2 linked regions of the Danio rerio genome follow. The protein of the gene in region 2 interacts with the protein of the main gene of each other region in a pairwise test. Links are inferred from orthologs where the notes say so. Each region holds a gene or a part of one and is shown on either strand. Other genes may lie near its edges.

Region 1 (5,850 bases), on a different chromosome or scaffold from region 2:
CCATAAATACTGCTGGGTTGTGAGTTGGTTAAAAAAATAATGACATTTCAAAAGGAAAATCAATCAAATTTTTTCAATTGCGTTGACATAACTGTTAAGTCGTAACAAGTTCAAGTAAATTGTGGATGCAACAGTTCACTTGTAGTGTACATTTTTAAACCATGGGCTGTGCTACTGAAGAAAGTATGAAGAAAGTATGCATTTAATTTTGAATATTTTATTACCATTCTGAAATAATTGAACTTGCAGCTTGCAATTTAATTAACATAAATAACAGAATTGTGTGTCAGGTAGTTCTTTGTCTCTAGATCGTGTATAAGTCTTGTCATGATCATAAAACATAAAAACACATATTACCTGTTTGTCCCATCCGCAGATCATGCTCCCCATAGACAGGCCCATGCCTCTGTATCCCAGCATCATGTTGGAGAGCAGTTTGGAGGCTGCAGACACTGAGATCCTCTGCTTGTTGCGTAGTTTATAAAGTCTGTTTTTAAAACACAAAAATATTAATATATAATAAACATATAGGAGTCAAGATAATGATCTTCCTCCCTTGTGTAAATGCATAATTGCTGGGGCACTGTGATCAATAATTACTTTGTCCCAAGAGTATCTACAATTGGAAGTGACAGAGATTCCCATCAAAGTTCCCGTCATCTCATTCAAACTCAAACAAAATGATCATCTTTTATAATGAACAAAGTGAAATTTAAGTGTTTATTCAATTAATAGTTCATATCAAAACACTGGTCAACATATTGACAGAACACTATACAGATAGAATGACATGATCCTCAAACATTGTGTCTGGTCACATTATATGCAGAAACCAATGAGGATTTGATGTCAGCTGACATTTGTAGTTTACGTTGCCATGTATGCTGTAGTCAGTGTACACATGCTGATCAATGTATAGATTTATCCTTACATAAACAAGCATACACTTTAATTTGTTCATCATAATGAATAACCAGTGCTTTCACCACCCTCAAAGACACTACTAAAGTGAGACCCTTCACCCACAATTGATTACCAGGCAACAAAGAAATATGGCTGCCCATTGCTCCAGGTGTGTGTAAATGTGTGTCTGTGAGCGCACTTGGATGATTTAATGCAGAGCACCAGTTTCTGAAAGTGGGACACTATAAATGTTATTTTTATATTCCAATGTTATTTGTAAACCGATGGACTTTCATTATTAATCAATAAAAACAATTGATGAAAATGTATTTAAAACTTCCCATTAAGCCTTGACCAGGAAAGCCAGGGTGGGTTTGGCACCCATCCTACTGTCCTAATCAGGACTAAGTGAGAAATAAAACAGCTGAAAGACAAACCAATACCAAATAAAAATAAAGAGATCTGTATACTTAAAGAAATCTGTATACTTATGCACACTGTACATTTATTTTAAGATAGAGAAAACTATAAGAATATGTTTCAAAGGGTTGGAAAATAATTCATGGGTAATAGTACACTATAAGATTCAGATACACTACTAACCAGTAATTTGACCAAATAATTGAAAACCAGACAGGGCAGCAGACACAGAATCAGACAATTATAAATAATATATATTAAGATTATATTATAGAAGGTCGCTGGTTTGAGCCTTGGCTGGGTCAAGTGGATAAGTTGGTGGTTCATTCCACTGTGGCGACCCCTAATTAATAAAGGGACTAAGACAAGAGAAAAAAAAAAAAATATATATATATATATATATACACATGACGATGCAGTGGCGCAGTAGGTAGTGCTGTCGCCTCACAGCAAGAAGGTCGATGGTTTGAACCACGGCTCAGTTGGCATTTCTGTGTGGAGTTTGCATGTTCTCTCTGCATTCGCGTTAGATTCCTCTGGGTGCTCCGGTTTCCCCTACAGTCCAAAGACATACGGTACAGGTGAATTGGGTAGGCTAAATTGTCTGTAGTGTATGAGTGTGTGTGTCTGTGTGGATGTTCCCCAGAGATAATGGGACTAAGCCGACAAGAAAATGAAATAAAATATATTCACGCCACCCATAGACTTTCACATTCACACACACACACACACACACACACACACACACACACACACACACACACACACACACACACACACACACACACACACCACGGCCAATTTAGCTTACCCAATTCACCTATAGAGCATGTCTTTGGACTGTGGGGGAAACCAAAGCACCGGGAGGAAATCCAAGTGAACACGGTGAGAACATGCAAACTCCACACAGAAATGCCAACAGACCCAGCCGGGATTCGAACCAGCAACCTTTTTGCTGTAAGTGCTGACCACTGAGCCACCATACCACTTATATAGTATATATTATTAATTAATTTTCTTTTCAGATAAGTCACTTTATTAATCTGGGGTCGCCACAGTGGAATGAACCGACAACTTTTCCAGCACATTTTTTACACAGCGGATGCTTATTCAGCTGCAACCCAGTACTGGGAAACATCCATACACACTCATTCACACATACACCATGGACAATTTTATCTTACCCAATTTACCTATACTGCAAGTCTTTGGCCTTGTGGGGGAAACCGGACCACCAAGAGGAAACCCACGCCAACACGGGGAGAACATGCAAACTCCACACAGAAATGTCAACTGACCCAGCCGGGGCTCGAACCAGCAACCTTGCTGTGAGGCATGCAACACTGCGCCATCATGCATCCATAGTATATATCATATAATTAAAAATGTTTTATACCTAAAGATGTTTGCATTACCAGAACTGGATCAAAGTGATTAGTAGAAATTTCTTTAACTCTTTAAAGTTTTGTTAAGCTTCAGCCACATTAGACTGAATACATTTTCTAGCACTATTGAACACAAACACAAACTGGTAATTTCATCCTGTGAGCAGATGCTCATCCCCTTCTGAAGCATGCTGAGACAGACCTGCACTCTTTAGCCAGGAGTCTCTCCCAGTACTGACAGTCTGCAGCGCTGCCCGACATGGTGCCCAGCAGGTAAGGGTTGATCTCAATCACTTTATTGGCCTCCTTTGATGCTGAAACACATCATGATAAAGCATAGACACATGATTTAATGAAGTTTACCAATACTGCTTTAATATGAAATGTCATGGCTGAGCTGTAAAACAACCCTGTTTTATAACATATGAATGTGTTTGTAGTTTTGATAACTGATTGCTTACCAATATATTTTCCAGCTGAAGCTCTGGAGTCTACAGCCACAATGACTCCATGACGGAATTTGAATGCCAGTGTTGTGGTGCCATGATTCAGATCTATGCAAACGCCATCTTCACAACTACACGATTTGAGAAACTTGGAGGGCTGATGGAAACACAGAATAATAATGTTTAATTAAGGAAAACTTGCTTATTTATAAGTTTAAATTATATTTAGGCTACTGTTGAGACTCTGCCCCCTATATTTCAATAAGCAGAATTATCTGGGAGATACATAGCAAACCATGACTTTTAAAAATGCATTTTGATTAACACTTACCTGTTTTACACCTTCTTAAACAATACTAAAATTGAGTTTGTGTATCAAATATTGATTTTTATGAGTAATTGTTGTTTAATCTTGTTTCTTCAAACACGACATATTTCATCTTTATCACTTCGGTCTTGCTAATATTTGCTAGGATTAAGTATTAGATTTTTTATCATAAAAACACTTACGTCAACTCCAACAGGTACCGCGAATTCCTGACATTTGGTCCCAAAACTGTAGTGATTCGAGCGGTCGAGAAGCGTTTGTTTAAAGCCAAACTGTGAGGCGGAATTATATTTATATCCACTTACGTCCAAAAGAGCCATCCTGTATGTTACGCACAGCTAATGGCAGTAATTAAAACACTAAAAGCGAAGTAACCAAAGTGTATTAGGCTATTTTACATGAAGGAAATACGATCCATGCACGGAAGACAACGATTTCGAAACCGAAAGATTCAGAGAAGCTTAATTTGGTTTCGATAACGACCAGAAAGTATCTTTAAAAACAAACTAAAAGCATAATCTATATCTTTGAATAACAGGTGTACATAAATGTTGTCTTTTAGGTTATTAAATGTTGTTTAAGAGTATCTACAAACAACATGATAACTTAGTGATTGTCTGAGGGAAAACTCTGCAGATGGGTTGACCAATGGGAGTGAGGGAGTCTCTCTCGTCGTCTTCAGTCTCTATGTAGATTTAACTGATGTAGGTTAAACCAGGTGAAAAAGATGCGGAAGCATAACATTTTTCACAAGATATGCGTGTAAACAAGCCTAAATTAACTTAAAATACTGGCTATCAGACTTTGTTATTACTAGATGTCTTAAAGGCACTGACTGGCCTTTTTCTTTGCTAGATAAAAGTACAAAAATGTACTTTTACAAAGGCCTAGATTTAGGATATCACTTGCCTAATGTGTACCATATAGGAATTAATCTATTTAATAAGCCTGAATCTATGTAAGCAGTCATGTGAAAGTATAGGACAATCTCTTGAAATTCATGGTTTTCCATATGAGGAAATAAATAAACGAGTGAAAAAGAAATATTATTATTTTATTATAACATAATCAATTATTTTCCCAGTGTTGGGTTGCAACTGGAAGGGCATCCGCTGTGTAAAACATATGCTGGATAAGTTGGCGGTTCATTCTGCTGAGGAGACCCCAGATTAATAAAGGGACTAAGCGGAAAAAAAATTAATGAGTAATCGTATATTAATGTGTTATTACTTGTGTAATAAAATATTTTTTTAAAGAGTAAACACATTTATTTTTAACAGCAAGTTAATCCCAAGACCAAACGGTGTAAAGCACACTGAACTGCCAGACAAAACTTCCCCACAAACTCTAAAGACCTCAGTTAACATTTAAATTATCATGCTCAAGATCAGTACATTTAGAAAAGATGGGAAAACTATGGTATGTTTAAAAAGGTTGTGAAAAGAAATTTCTTTTCTATAAAAAATAAAAACATGGCAGCAGTTTCAGTTTGCAAAGTGTCATTTGAACAAACCATAAGATTATAGAACAATATTTTTACAGATGAGACCACAGTGGAGATATTTGGCCATAATCTTGTGTTGTTAAATTTATGAAAACTGCATTATAAAATACCTACACATATTTACACAACTCAGTTTTGCATAATACATTTTACAGATGTATTTTTACTTTTTCATTACTGTTCTGAAATAATATTAGGCTTTATTCAATTATTTAGGAATGTCAAATAAGCATTAGCATCAACAATGCAGACCATGTTCCTGGAGTGTTTTTTTAAGCAATAAAAAGGCTTTGCAGTGTATATACTGTAAAATGTAATGGTTTATTGATAATTATCTGCACAGGTCTACCAGTGATGGAATTAAGAACACAAACAACAAACATAATGGCATCATCTGTTTGTCAGCAGTTGAGTTGAAAGGATCCCTCTTCCTCATTCCAGACATCATGGTGTATGACTCGGATCAACTTGATGCAGATGTTTCCATCATCTGAACAGTCTCCTGCACCAAGTCCAGCTCGAGCTTATTCACGGTTTTAGTTAAAATTGGTGTTGTACCTGATTTATATTTATACTTGGCTTGTCTGTAACACAATGATAGAAAGGAATCAATAAATTACCAACGTCAAACATCAAACTAAATATCATCAACTTTTAAATATATGCAGTTAATGCATGTGAGTTGTATAGTACAATGTGTGACCAGAAAAATAAATAAAAAGATGACAAGGTTTTCTACCTCTTGTAGTTATAAGGGGACTCTTTGTGAGGTCTGATATAGTCCACCCCCTCTTTTGTAATGACACACAGGTCAATGTTGTTTCCAGATCCCAGGTCACACATGATGCCAGCTTGGATGGCATC
Region 2 (6,111 bases):
CAGGACATCAGAGACTTATTTTAACGTCTCATAAAAAAGGAGCATAATAGTTCTCCTTTAAGCACTTGACCGGTGATTTTTGTGCTATTATCATGGATGTTTCCTTCATACCATTGAGAATGTCCTCAAAGCCGATGGTGTCATCGCTGCCTCGAAGAGTATCCAGAGCCAGATTTGAGCTTGGGAGGAAGGGCAAACGCTGAATCTGAAAGTACAATGTTTACACGTGATCATCTTCCATAATGATCATGAAGTGTTATTGGCATAATTCACATGTAAACAAGCATCACGAATGATACCTGTTTAGCTGCTCTGTACTCCATCTGTAGTTTGAGGGGCGCATGGAGACCCTGGATGTTCCTTAGCGTGTTGAAATTCATCTTGTCCTGGTTAAGCTGAAACTGGTTTGATAAAAAATAAATAAAAAAAGCAAGGTGGAGTTACACTTTTGTTACACCATGCTCTAACAACTCCCAACAAAATGGACAGGTTTCTAATCTTATGAATGAATATTAAAAGTCATAAACATTATTAAAAGTACAAGCTGAGTAACTGATATTGCTGGTTTAACTAAGTTGTAACATTCATGTTTAAAATGTTTGCTTGTTTTTTTCTTCTCCATGATCTGAAGTAAACTATCTGCTGACTTTTTCAGTATAGCCATAGTAGTTTATGCTAGAGATGGGAAAAACAAAGCTTTTTGGATTTATGGTTGGGGTAGGTGTAATCAATATTACATTAATCAACATTACAAGTGATTCTCATTTCTAGCGAGTCGCGACAACCGCTCGTGAATGCATGTCGATTTAATGCATTTATCTATTAATTTGACCATAAAATGGTGTTTAAAAAATTAAAAACTGCTTTTATTCGAGTCAAAATAAAACAAATAAGACTTTCTCCAGAAGAAAAAACATTATCAGACATACTGTGAACATTTCCCTGCTCTGTTCATCATTTAGGAAGTATTTAAAAAAGGGAAAAAAAATCAAGTGGAGGCTAATAATTCTGACTTCAACAGTATATATAATGTATTTTTGCATATTGTTAAAAATATACCTGTACAACATAAATATTCTGTGCTCCAGGGTAACAAATTTTAAGTTTTAATTAAAAAATATACATTTTTATGTCATATGACCCACATGTATGCCCATTTAAAACCATTTATATGTACAAAAATGAGCTTGTTCTATGTAATTGCACACAGACAGACAAATTCTTCATTCCACTTACATTTTTCTCAGAGAGCTCCAATGGATGACTCGGTAGAAGCTCATTTTTGACACTAGAGAACCTATGAGCAAAGAAAAATGTCAAAAGAAAAATTGTAAAAGAGGCAGAAACAAACACAGCACAGGTTTCTGTAGGCAAAACTCACCCTCTGCGCAGAGAGTCTTGGACCCCATAAGGACCAGCCTGAGGACACAGACCTGTGACAGGAACACTGTCCTTCAGCTGAGAGCGCAGGCCACGAGTGTTCTGAGGAAAACACACACAGCAAGATAATTAAACACCGCTGATGTGAAAACAGACCCGAATGGGTTTTTGACAGTTACAACTCTACATGTTCATGTCTCTAAAAGATTATGTCTTTATTAACACACACATTATGCAAAAGATAATGAAAATAATTACATAACATACAACATTAAAAGCTTCTGTGAACAAGATGTGTTGCACATAAACACTGAGTTATATAAAACTAATTGTTTACAATTTTGCCTATTATTTTTTTATTCCATAGAAAACCATACTAATTAGATGTATTATTAATTGTCCTTCTAGGAGATAAAATCTTTATTTTTGTAGGAAAACTTACAAATTATAAATATGAGAATTTACAAGTATAAGAAAAGGAATAAGATTCATCATTTGAACATGACTGTCTTTATAGTATTGTGACACCAAAAATGCATATTTTCATAACACGACAAAACGATCATCAATAGCATTTACCATTTAAAAAAAAAAAAAAAACTCACAGACATCAACAAAACTATACGAATATGCAGAACAAAATCGAATGAAACACCAAAAGTGCACTTAAATCAATGTTAGACTTAAATGTTAGCAAATATTGTTTATATGGGGAAAAAACTGAAGTTAAGCCGGCTTTATATTTACACATTGCTTCATTTTAAAAACAGAGACAACCACACGACTTTGAATATTCAGTCTGAAACTGCATGGAAGTATGACTTCAAATAGAGGTAAAGTTGGTTTTATATTTGCACATTTGTTAATTTAGCAGTCTATATTGTTTACCATGTTACTTTGAATATTCGATAGGAATTAGTATGCAAGTATGACTACTAAACAACATTAACTCTATCTAATTCACTGTGAACAATGCTGTACTTTGATAATCATTTGCTGCTAATATAATTTCCCTATTAAGAAATGTTAAGCATTGCTTTTTTGAAATTATATTATTAAGGAGAAAGTCTGAATATCCGAATATAAAACCAACTTTACCTCTATTGACTTCAATACTGACTGTGAACAATAGTTCTTAGTCATTGGCAAAGAATATTTTCTGAAGTTGTATTATTAATAAGAAAAACAAACTACCTCAACAAAACATTTGTATAATAAAGGATTCTTCTCTTTAACGTATTTAAACAATGGTTAGATATATGCTAAATCTTAGGTAAAATGCAATACTGTCTGTAAAACTATTCCTGTCAGTGAAAAAATGACTACATAAAAATGTCTCGTTGATATCAGGTTATACTGGATTGCTCAAGTTCTGGAAAATGCAATTATTATCAATATATTAAGTTATAATATTTAATCAGGAAACAATTAATAATAGTTCTGGCCTGATCTGATGTCTTAATCTCCCAAAACCTTTTCCAAAAATCCCCCTAACTTACAGGTAACTTAAATACAAACTGAAAGTAAGTTAAGCGATGACTGGAGTTGAAGCAATGACGCATCACAATTCACTCAGATGCTAACAAAAAAGCCGACAAAATCAATACAAAGCAATAATATGTATCATAAATAAAATGCCAAAGCAAATAATAAGTGCTCATGACATTAATTGCAAACTGATAACTTAATCTGCTCTAGGAAATAAATAAACACGATCTGCCATGCTATGCTAGCAAGCTAACAACCGGCACAGCTGAAATAAGCGCTTTTCAATGCTATATGTACATAGTTTCATAGTATGCTGAAAACAACCTAAATAGCCATCTAAAAAAATGGCCCAATGTAAAAAAGGGAAATAAAATAAAATAAAAGTAAAAACTGAAGTTCAACATTACCATCTTTTATCTAGCTTGTCTTTCCGACTAGAGTTAATGTACTTCCGGTCAGTCCCCGGATATACTTTTGTTATCATGTGACGACGACGTATGAAATTATATTTGAGAGCGGTTTATACCATAAATAGATCTTTGTTAATATTGCCGATCATATATATAGGCCACTGACATAATCAATAAAGAAATACCAGAATGAACATTTCTTATTTGTCTACAATAACACTTCATGGAGCAGTGTGGTATGAGAAAGGGGGTATAGCTCAGTGGTAGAGCATTTGACTGCAGATCAAGAGGTCCCCGGTTCAAATCCGGGTGCCCCCTCAATACTCATTATTTTTCTGTCCTTTTAGTAATTATAATTTGCATGATAGATTTAGGCAAACTCAAATGAGACAGACAACTCTGCGAAGTAAGAGCGATGTCTTTCTCAAATATAATTGTAACAATATATAATAATCGCATCGACAAGTTCTTTATTATTATTTTTTGCAATCTATTTAAAGAGATAGTAACAGGAAACTGACTATTAAATCACACTTAAGTGGTTCCACAACTTGAATATGCATGAATATGCAGAGTTCAAGTTTAAGAAAATGTTTAAATATTTTGAGTTGTAACAAAAGCAAGAAGAACAAAGCTCTTGAAATATTTCATTTTGAGAAAAGTGAATACACAGCGGAATATAACAAGATTTTGAAGAAAAAAAGAAAAAGAAAACTTTCTCATATTCTAGCACTGAAAAATCATACTCAAGTAAAAGCACCATGGCTTACATAAAAATGTAGTGTGAGTAAAAGTATCTGTGGTAAATACTTTTCAAAGTATGAGTAAAAAATAGACCTTTTCAAAAGTACTCAAGAGTAGTCAGTAGTGAGTATTACACTGTTAAAAGCTGATGAATTTACATGGGCTGCGTCTGAAACCGCCTACTACTCAGTAGGTACTGCATTTGAATTTAAACGTACTACTCGGCCGTTAGAAAAGTACGTTCTATACAGTATGAATGTGAAAAGTTTGAATGGAATTCGGACGTACTACATCCGCCAATTTGTCATGGACACGTGACCTACCTGCGTCAGTTGTGTCGCCTCACTTCCATTCATGAATTCTCTCACGGGGCATTATGGGATAGCGCAGCGTGCATTGGGATGCGCACTTCAGAGTCTCGCCGGAAGTAGTAAGTCATCCGGGTACTTCTCGCATACTGATTTTCGAATTCTATGAAATCGGACATACTACACGGCTCGCATACTGATTTTAGCGTACTATATAGTATGGAAGTATGCGGTTTCGGACACAGCCATGTGCATGTGTGTGTAAACGTAACATTCTGTAGTGCATCAAGTAATTGGCCAGCAGGTTCACAACGTCATAAGACGTTAATATTAGGATAAGTTTAGGTTGTGGTGTCAGGTGACCAAAATTCATTGTCTAGCCAGCGTCTAAGGACCAAATTATTTTGTCAAATGATGTTAATATTTGGTTGATTTTAGGTTGCGTTAGAAAGCAAACAAAATCCAATGCAGAGCCAACATCTTAAACCAATGTCATTTTGAGGTCAAATACTCCCTCTTTGGCCCAAGGTATTCGGCAGGCCAAAAAAGGCCGGCCGCAGGCCCCAAGAAAGCCCCGATTTGGCCCGATTAGGCCCCGGAAGTGACAGTGGATACGCGACTGGCTTTGGCTCGCGCTGGCTCACTTGCTTTAAGTGCGATAGTGAAAACGCGGCTATTTATCCGTCAGGTACGAGCAACCAAAACTCAACATCTGATAGACGTCATAGTGGTAGCATTCACACAACGTCAGGCTGTAGCGTCATTAGATCTGGTTGCTTTTAGGTTGGACATTGGACATTCTGACGTTCTGACGTCAATCCAATTTTCATTTCCAAATAAAATGCATTGTCCCTACACCGCTGGGGTACAACGTCAATCTTGTACAACGTCAAGTCATGTTGATGTCTTGTGCCTGCTCTGTGGGTGTTTAGGGCCACTTTGGTCTTCACACGGTAAACATCCATCATCTTCTCATCAGTGACATGCATCTAAACAGTCTCTGGGTCATTGCATGTAAAGGTTTTGGACATCTTGGACACTTTTATTACAGTTTGCTGATTCCAAACAGTTTGCTGCAATTATAAATTGGCCATGTCTTGAGGTGGTTTATCATGATGCAATTTACTTTCTATGTGTGTTCTGATTGGACAAGAATTACAGGACTGATTTTTCTAATCCCATAAACACGAAAAAAATAAAGTAGTGACTGCAGATTAAAGTAAAGTAGTGGATTAAAAGTACAGATACAGCACCAAAAATGCACTCAAGGGGAAAATATAAGTAAACAGTTTTAAAGCTACTTAGTAAATTACAATTTCTGAGAAAACCTCCTCAATTACAGTCATTTGAGTATTTGTAATTTGTTACTTTACATCACTAATTCAATATTTATCTTATGACACAAAAAATGTCTATTTTTCTCAATTCTATAATAATAATAATTCATCAATAATAATAAAAGTAAATTGCAATTACAACCAGATCCAATGCTTGTAACATTTACATTTACATTTAGTCATTTAGCAGACGCTTTTATCCAAAGCGACTTACAAATGAGGACAAGGAAGCAATTTACACAACTAAGAGCAACAATGAATAAGTGCTATAGGCAAGTTTCAGGTCTGTAAAGTCTAAGAAGGGAAGTATTAGTAATTATTATTTATTTATTTATTTATTTTTTATTTTTTTGGGTACAGTTAGTGTGATATTCAGAGAGGCAATTGCAGATTAGGAAGTGAAGTGGAGACCAAATAGTTGAGTTTTTAGTCGTTTCTTGAAAA

What was found.
Region 1: the proteins of pomp (region 2) and psmb8a interact in a two-hybrid assay, tested with the Homo sapiens proteins (2 studies listed by BioGRID). The link is inferred for Danio rerio from reciprocal best matches to the Homo sapiens genes POMP and PSMB8.

Annotation. Positions count from the first base shown.
Region 1 is NC_133194.1:8,161,367-8,167,216, forward strand, and holds the start of psmb8a (proteasome subunit beta type-8), read right to left. Parts: upstream 4,089-5,850; 5' UTR 3,803-4,088; coding exon 3,665-3,802; intron 3,312-3,664; coding exon 3,170-3,311; intron 3,023-3,169; coding exon 2,911-3,022; intron 488-2,910; coding exon 358-487; intron 1-357. Other genes in the region: psmb13a (proteasome 20S subunit beta 13a), read right to left, coding at 5,450-5,570, 5,726-5,850. UniProt on the Homo sapiens protein: The proteasome is a multicatalytic proteinase complex which is characterized by its ability to cleave peptides with Arg, Phe, Tyr, Leu, and Glu adjacent to the leaving group at neutral or slightly basic pH.
Region 2 is NC_133196.1:43,980,513-43,986,623, forward strand, and holds the start of pomp (proteasome maturation protein), read right to left. Parts: upstream 3,306-6,111; 5' UTR 3,279-3,305; coding exon 3,276-3,278; intron 1,483-3,275; coding exon 1,382-1,482; intron 1,298-1,381; coding exon 1,237-1,297; intron 402-1,236; coding exon 300-401; intron 206-299; coding exon 112-205; intron 1-111. UniProt on the Homo sapiens protein: Molecular chaperone essential for the assembly of standard proteasomes and immunoproteasomes. Degraded after completion of proteasome maturation. Mediates the association of 20S preproteasome with the endoplasmic reticulum.